Kluyveromyces lactis: one gene and its partners. The protein of the gene in region 2 binds, or shares a complex with, the protein of the main gene of each other region. Links are inferred from orthologs where the notes say so. Each region holds a gene or a part of one and is shown on either strand. Other genes may lie near its edges.

Region 1 (2,469 bases), on a different chromosome or scaffold from region 2:
GTCACGAACGAGTACGTATTCACTGAACAAAATTTGAAGAAATATCAGCAGTTTGCCAAGGAATTGGAGTCGAACCCCGAGTTGCAAAGACAGGCATACATAAGGAAACAAGAAAGAGAGGAAGAGATGAAGAAAAAACAGCAGCAGATGAAGCGTAAGTACAACAAGAGAAGGTTTCAGCACCGTGTCATGACGGATAGGGACGGTAGAGATAGATACATCCCGTACGTGAAGACTATTCCGAAGAAAACTGCAGTGACGGGGAAAGTGTACCACGAATGTCAAGTGATGCCCTCGATAGACGATCCAAATTACCATACAATTGTGGAACATAGAAGACAAATCGTTAGAAACATCCACAAACCAACGGTTACGGTGCTTGACCAAACTCCTGGTGTCACTATGAGTAACGCCGGTATGTCGATGAGATCCGACACTTCCAAGTTCTTAAAAGTTGGAAAGGAAAAGAAGAACAACGCAAGGGCTATCCGTTTGCCAAAGAAGGAACTTTTGGATCTATTGTTCAAGTTGTTTGATGAATACGATTATTGGTCCTTGAAAGGTTTGAAGGAGAGAACAAGACAACCAGAAGCATATTTAAAGGAATCGCTAGATCAAGTTGCTATGCTTGTGAAAAAGGGTCCGTATGCCTTGAAATATACTTTAAAATCGGAATATAAAAAGTTGAAGGAAGCTGAAAGAGCTGCTACGCTTGGTGAATTGGCACAACACGCTGATCCAGAACAACAGCAGCAGATTCAAGACCAATTTGATCAACAACAACAACAGGAGAACGAGCAAGAGGAGGAAGACTTGGAAGACGTGGAAATGGAGGATGTGTTGTAGAACCCTTCAAACATAGTATATATATATATATATATATATATATATACACATAATCATGCCCCACCGGTTATCTAGTAAATGAATGGATATCTTATTCATGATGCTGGCATGTCTAGTCCTGTGATGTATTCTTGTGACCTGAACCAATAGTAGGATTAAAGAATTCAAATCACGTGATTAACAAAGGACTGTCCATTGTTAAAATAACACCCATACACTCCAAACACTGAAAAATAAAAACCCACACATCCGGATACAAAACGAGAAAATTCTCAATTGGGTAGTATAATACTCAAAGAAACCCAAAAAATCTCTAAAAGCCAACCTCCTGACACCCACACACCATCAACTAAACTTTTCACCAATCTCATCGACTGTGCTCATTGAGTATTGTGCAATTGGCAAGCCAGTAAACGTTTAGTTTCGAACAACTTTCGACAGTTTTAACGTTTTAGATTTTAACATTTGTCGTTAATAGTGGTGTTTTGTATATGTCCATTTAGTGTTTTTTTGATGTTTAGCGTTTTTTACATTGTATTATCGGTTCTTGTTTAGTATTCTTTATAACTTTTAATTACAGTTTATTAACTCTTTTGTCTTAATAGTTTCTGTGAATCTCCAAGCATCAACAACTAGGAAGTACATTAACAAAAATGGCTAAGGAAATCGCTGATATTAAGGAATTCTTGGAATTGATCAGAAGACAAGATGTCAACTCTGCTACCGTCAAGATCAACAAGAAGTTGAACAAGAACGGTAAGGCTTTCAGACAAACCAAGTTCAAGCTAAGAGGTTCCAGATACTTGTACACCTTGATTGTTAACGATGCTGGTAAGGCCAAGAAATTGTTGCAATCTTTGCCACCAACTTTCAACGTTAACAAGTTGTAAGGGTAGTCTAGAGAGACACTAATACTTTCTTTAATACCATATCAACTGTTTTTTTTGGAAATTCCACCAATCGTCTGTTTCAACCCATGGTGTGGGGTAAGTACTCTTATTGAATTGAATTTAAATTGAATTTGAATTGATTTAATTACCAGCACTTTGTACTGGCAATTTTTACCTGAGGAACGAACCATCCAGATTGAAATGAACAAACTCGTCAAATAAGTTATAATAAACGCATACTTTTTATCTGCATTCTTTCATTGATGAGACGATAAGATTACTACTCTAATGATGATAATACAGCTTGTATTAAGCGTCCAGTGGTAGGTTTTTTTTACCTGTGTTAATTGTCTTTGCGAGCTTTTAAAGTTTTATTTTGGGCTTCACAAGGAAAAATGACTGAGGTTATACACAGTATGAATTTTCCCTGGTATTATTAGTACAAGCTCTGTTATATCGTCATTATCACTGCATGATTATTATCTCATCTATTTTTTTTATTTGTTTTTGGTATATATGAGTATATAGGTGTGCTTTAAGCACGCTATTCGATACGAGTTGGAAACTCAGGGGACAGGCATACTTCGCTGTGAAATGCTACCTTGGAGTATCGTCGGAAGATGCAAGATTTGATTCGGTGACCCTGGATTTAAGATCTCCAGATGTGTCTGTTGAACGTTGGAAATTCTCATTCGGACTTTCTTCTATCACTTCAGAGTTATCGTCTGTTGTT
Region 2 (3,326 bases):
CCAAACAATTGCCCCTCCCTTCAACAAATTTACATTCAGAATTATCAATTTCCTCTTTAGCTTTTTTGAGTAGTACTGAGAGAGTATTATCTGGGGAAGCGTTTACAAATCTCGCTACTAGGTCTATACTTTTTTCTAGTACATCCATTTCAATGTCCAAATCTTTAACCTTTTGAAAGATACCTAATACCATATCCCATTGCAAAATGACCTCACCAAGATCTGCTAAACTGTTCTCAATGTCGTATTCTTTGTGTTTGCCTACTATATCTTCTTCGTTAACTAGGAATCCACTTGATGACTCTGTATCTGATAAATCAGGGACATCACCGAGGCAATTAATGAAATCTATGAAATGTGAAGTTCTTGGTTCGAATACATGAAGAATGTCCTCATCAAGCAATCTATTGAGCTTTTTCCAGTAAAACTCCCCTTCGATGATATCTATATTCTCACTGTCTGCCTCTTCACTTTTATTTTGAGTGTTGGAACCATCTTTTAAAGCATTATTATTTTTATCGTAAATTAGTCTGAAAGATTCGTCAACACGAACTGAAAACTTTATCACATCTGAACCATCCAATTTGATACTAGATCCAATAGTAGGATCTTGTACGAATTCTCTTTCATGGTCGAAAGAAACTAGATTATCATCAAGATCCTTATCTTGCTGGAAAGGTTTGAAAAATGACTTCTTCTCAGACAGATCTGAGAGGACTTTATTATCTTGACTTTGACTCCTCACCGATAAAGACATCTTAATCAGACCGCCTGTGTGCTAGTTGCTAAGCTATGCCATCAACTTTGACCAAACTGTTAGTGAACGGTAATCTAGTTTGTGTCCGACGTCAGTTTTTCTTCAAATATTAGCAATAATCTGACCTACACTACTATGGAGCGGACCGCTTAGACAGGCAAAAAACAAATAAATTGTCGCCATGAAGACACGATAATTTGATGCGATAAGATTTGTGCGCTTAAGATAGAAATTAATAAAGACTAACTAAACTTATAGATACAGATTGATCATCTGAAACCGATATGTGAATTTAAAATTTAATTGTTATTGTTTCCATAATTATAAGGTGTTTAATCGAACAAACCGAAACCCATGTCGTCATCAGATTCTTCTTCTTCTTCAGCTGGAGCTTCTTCAGCAGCAGCTTCGGAAGAGCCGGAAGCAGCAGCAACTGGGGCAGCAGAAGCGTAAGCATCTGGGTTCTCAATTCTGTCCTTCAATTCTTCAATTTCTGGGTAGATGTAGTCAGCAGCGATAGCGACAGCCAACAAGTCCTTGTAGTTGTTGATCAAAGAGTGACCGACAGATGGCAAGGTTGGGTAACCAGCAGCCAAGGAAACACAAGCAATGGTGTTGACAGCAGAGATGAAGTGAGAGATCAATTCATCGTCAGTGATATCCAAGATGGAAGCTGGGAAGACTTGACCGTTGTCGTAAACTTGAACGACGGTCAAACCGTAGGTGAATGGAGAAATGTTCAACAAGTTCAACAAAGAAGCTTCAGAAGCACCGACTCTCTTACCAGCGTCAACGACCTTAACGTCAGAGACAATTTCAATGGTACCTCTGGCAATCTTGGTTGGAACACCCAAAGCTTGGAAGAAAGAAGTCTTACCTGGTTCCATACCGGTGTTGACGGCGAGAACCCAGATATCTTCTGGGGCAACAGCACCAGCTCTGGCTGGAGCGGCAACCTTGTTGGCGATGATGACTTCCTTGATATCTTGCAAGGAATCGTTGGTGAAGATGAAACCAACGTTACCCTTGACGAAAGGCAACAACTTTTCGTAGTCTGGGAAGTCAGAGATGAAACCTCTGACAGCTCTTCTGACCATGGTGTTCTTACCCATCAAGACAACAGCTCTGCCTCTCAAGTTCTTTCTGACTTCGTGCATTTGTTGGGAAGACACATTGTCAACACCAACAACGAAGACAGACTTGTATTCTTCCAAGTATTCTCTTAGCTTGGCAAAGTATTCAGCTTTCTTTTCACGGACGCCCCCCATTTCGACTTTTTTAGTGATAGGATGTTTAAGGTAGTACCTGTGGTTCTTGTAAACTATATACAAACTACAAATCTAATCAAGTACTTAACATCCAATTATGTATATTCATATGTAAAGGACGTTTTATCATAAAATTCAATATTTTTCAAGTTTGGTTTCCCTCAGCGATGAAAAATTTGAGATTTTCCAATTTCCAAATTAAGGCCCACATGAAAAACAAACAAGCATCCGTTAATCATACAGAAATAGGTGTAACTCATATGGTATATTATAAAAAAGAAGGAGCTTGAGTGAATGGTATCAGGATGTACCCTCTACGCTTGAAAACCATCTGGTGCTGAGGATTCAATCCATATGCCGGACTTGTTAATACTTTAACGTTGTATTGCTTAATACAACGGGTTTGCATTGTTTAAATGCACGTGACCACTAGTCAAAGAGGAAATTAATTCCTTTGGAGTTTTATCAAGGTGCATGGGTGTTGTGTTGACATTTTTTACATATGTAAGGGTGTAAACAGTCCGCAGAATAGCTTTCATCGTATCAATGCTCATCCCATCTCGTCGAAAAGAAATCTACAATAACTTCCCAAGTTATCGTAGCATTGAGTATTGATAATTCAATCGATGAGAAACTCGCCTTAGTTGAGTAATTAGCTACAAAGCAACAACGATGGCTTCTTCCAAACTAAAATATAACGAAATTGAAGTAGAAGGCATAGATCCTTCCACCTACGTAGAATGTTCGACCTACATCAAAGAAAAAATCATCCCAGAAACCCTGCGAAGTGCAGGTTGGAACAATGCGTCTGAGACATCTGTAGGAGCAATTATTTCGTACAGTAAAAACTCCAATATTAAACAATGTGTGGATCAACTCGCAGCTATCACTGCTGATACATTCGTACTTGTTGCTTATGGAGTTCATGTACAAAAAGCACTTTCGATAATAGAGATCTTCAAGACTACTGAAAACGGGAAAGCACTACATCAATTTAATAAACTAGACTCGTTTATTGAAATCAAGGCTGGACGTAATGAACTATTGGATAGAAAAGTCAACTTGCCTATACTTATTACCTTATTCACTAAACAAGAAGTCAAAAGCCTTAATAAATTCACAAAACAATCGTAACTTCAACGTTGACACAATTTAAAGTATACTGATAACGCTTCCAGTCAAAACATATTGTATATACCTTTGTGATCCGTCAGGGCGGACAGTGAACAAATTCCGATCGTCAAAAAAAATATCGTACCCAATTTATTTGGTAAATAGCTACAATATCGCAATTGCCATGT
Region 3 (2,682 bases), on a different chromosome or scaffold from region 2:
TGCATTGTTCATTTCAACAGGACCCAGAAGAATTTGAGGGAGTTCCGACCGGTGATTTAGCCGATGACGAATTTGACTATCTACTGGATAGTACCGCTTCGAAAAGGGAACAAAGAAGGCAAAGGTCGAAAATTTCTAAGGCAAGGTTATATTTCAAAAGAGTTGGTTGGCAGGAGAGGGCAAATGAACGGTATCTTGAGCTGAAACTTATGAACAAAAAACATACGGAAGCAAAGAACCCGGCTTTACCCAGTGATGATTTGAAATATACTTTGTACAAAAATGGAGCAGAATGTCCAATATGTTTCCTCTACTTTCCTAAGCCTTTGAATATTTCCAGATGTTGCAAGCAACCGATCTGTACTGAATGCTTCGTCCAAATCAAGCGTGCCGCACCACACTTCCCGCATGAAGAGGTAGATCCAACTCAAGATCAAGAACCGGACGAATTGAAGGATCCCAACCTTCTTGTCAGTGAACCTGCCAATTGCCCTTACTGTGCCACTGCAGAGTTTGGTGTAACATACGAACCGCGCAGGGACGTGCGGACTGGAATCAACGGGATCTACGCTTCCGAATACAAGATTGCCGAATACAAGGACCGTGAAGGCCTAGTATCGGATTCTAGCAGCAATGAAGATGACGAACTCGTAACTATAGAACAAATTCGTAGGGGCTCAATAGCAGCCGATGATCCGTCTGTGATAACATCCGATTCTATAAGACCTGACTGGGAGATCAATCTAACCAAAGAAAGATTAAGACTCGCTAGAAGATCAGCAAAAGCTACTGCAATACACATGAGTAATCAATTAATTGATCCCGAACACCCTTCTAGACACGCATCCATTTCTTCTTCAGTTGGAGGCCCTGACGGAGGGAATAGTCCTCAACGTCGTCAGAAAACATTAGAAGAACTGGATGACGAAATGCTCCAACAAGCAATCAAACTAAGTTTGCAGGATCATTAACCTAATTTGGAGCTTATTTCATGAACTGAAAGCATTTTCTCCTGCACTGCTGTCTCCTTCATTACCTTCACGACTAACGACAGATACAATCAACACATTCGCAAATTACTTCACTTTGCATGCATCTTTTAACAATCCCATAACTTTCGCATCATACCTTAAGATACAAGGTACACTCATCAGTAACACTGCGCGCGAGTATATATATGTTTATAAAACATAGAATATTATGTGGAATATAGCACCCATCTGCGGACTCACTCCGACTCAATATCAGGGATTCTCCCTTGTACATCTACGCTGACTCTGTACATCCAGCGTTTCATGCAGAAACATTATATCACATCACACGAATTATCATGCCTGACGAAACCACGCAGCTTTTCCTGAAATTTTTCACCTTTCCACGATGAGATGTGAAATATCAATAAAACTTACAGGAGTAACCATTTAACATTTCGATAGGAAAAGTATTTGTTTTACACATGATGGCATTTGTTCAATTTGAAGCTTCTTTTATGAAATATTCTTATTACTTATATCGTTTTATTATTTAGTTTCTCTTATTTTCAAAGGACCAAAGAAATAGTCTGCTTCATTACGAGCTTAATCTGATTATCTCTACACTTGCCAGAACCAGGAAATTTTACATTAGAAATGTCTGTTGAAACTGCTTTGTCTTACGCTGCTTTGATCTTGGCTGATGCTGATATCGAAGTCTCTTCTGAAAAGTTGTTGGCTTTGACTGAAGCTGCCAACGTCCCAGTTGAAGGTATCTGGGCTGATATCTTTGCTAAGGCTTTGGCTAAGCAAAACATCAAGGACTTGTTGGTCAAGTTCGAAGCTGGTGCTGGTGGTGCTGCTCCAGTTGCTACTGGTGGTGCTGCTGCCGGTGCCGAAGAAGCTGCTGCTGAAGAAAAGGAAGAAGAAGCCAAGGAAGAATCCGATGATGACATGGGTTTCGGTTTGTTCGATTAAATTAGGTTAACTTTTAACATAGGAGGAATAAATTCTGTTTTTATTACTAGCGCATTAAGCTACTACTTACTACGTTAAATTTGAGAATCAAATAACACATCATTTGAGTGTATACACAAATATGTATATATAATCAACCGTTTTTAATACACAAACGTCCAATCTTCAAAGCATCTCATCACTAGTGACACTTTGAAATATAAGTAGGATCGTATAAGGTTCCATAATATCATTAGACAAATTGATAATCTGATAATTTGAATTAGATGTAAAATATTATAGTTTATACGTTTTTTTACACGGTAGACAATGTCTCATAATTACCAAACAGGAAACTTATTGAGAAAGGGGATGCGGTGACATTAATTCTTAATGACGGAAAGATAATTTGATTAAAAGATATTTATAAAATAAAACAACGTTTTGTCTAGTATTTGAATAAAAGGTATGGAGTTGCTTATTTCTTCTTTTCAGCTTCAGCTTCAGCCTTGTCCTTAGCTCTCTTTTCTCTGATACCCTTGTATCTCTTGTCGGATCTAGCCAATCTCAAAGTTCTGTAAGCAGATTCACCGTTGTCTTCAACAGCTCTGGTTTCAGAGTCAGTAACTGGTTGGACAATTGGGAAAGAGGCAGCAGCAGACAAAGTTTGTTCAGCTTCTGGAGCCTTACCCTTTCTTGGGAAGACGATGATCTTAGATTGGTATTCCTTCAATCTTTGGATGTTCAAGTCCAA

The links. Proteins that work in one complex are often made in the same cells at the same time.
Region 1: RPP0 (region 2) and RPL38 share a complex: the UniProt entries of both Saccharomyces cerevisiae proteins name them as parts of the large ribosomal subunit. The link is inferred for Kluyveromyces lactis from reciprocal best matches to the Saccharomyces cerevisiae genes RPP0 and RPL38.
Region 3: RPP0 (region 2) and RPP1A share a complex: the UniProt entries of both Saccharomyces cerevisiae proteins name them as parts of the large ribosomal subunit. The link is inferred for Kluyveromyces lactis from reciprocal best matches to the Saccharomyces cerevisiae genes RPP0 and RPP1A.

Annotation. Positions count from the first base shown.
Region 1 is NC_006039.1:1,609,043-1,611,511, forward strand, and holds RPL38 (60S ribosomal protein eL38), read left to right. Parts: upstream 1-1,499; coding exon 1,500-1,736; downstream 1,737-2,469. Other genes in the region: transcription factor IIF subunit TFG2, read left to right, coding at 1-846; KLLA0_C18238g (PEX28-32 family peroxisomal membrane protein), read right to left, coding at 2,334-2,469. UniProt on the Saccharomyces cerevisiae protein: Component of the ribosome, a large ribonucleoprotein complex responsible for the synthesis of proteins in the cell.
Region 2 is NC_006038.1:531,982-535,307, forward strand, and holds RPP0 (60S ribosomal protein uL10), read right to left. Parts: upstream 2,026-3,326; coding exon 1,090-2,025; downstream 1-1,089. Other genes in the region: KLLA0_B05885g (uncharacterized protein), read right to left, coding at 1-757; ribonuclease P/MRP protein subunit POP6, read left to right, coding at 2,698-3,159. UniProt on the Saccharomyces cerevisiae protein: Component of the ribosome, a large ribonucleoprotein complex responsible for the synthesis of proteins in the cell.
Region 3 is NC_006041.1:1,966,582-1,969,263, reverse strand, and holds RPP1A (ribosomal protein P1), read left to right. Parts: upstream 1-1,628; coding exon 1,629-1,949; downstream 1,950-2,682. Other genes in the region: SIP5 (Sip5p), read left to right, coding at 1-971; KLLA0_E22001g (60S ribosomal protein eL13), read right to left, coding at 2,407-2,682. UniProt on the Saccharomyces cerevisiae protein: Component of the ribosome, a large ribonucleoprotein complex responsible for the synthesis of proteins in the cell.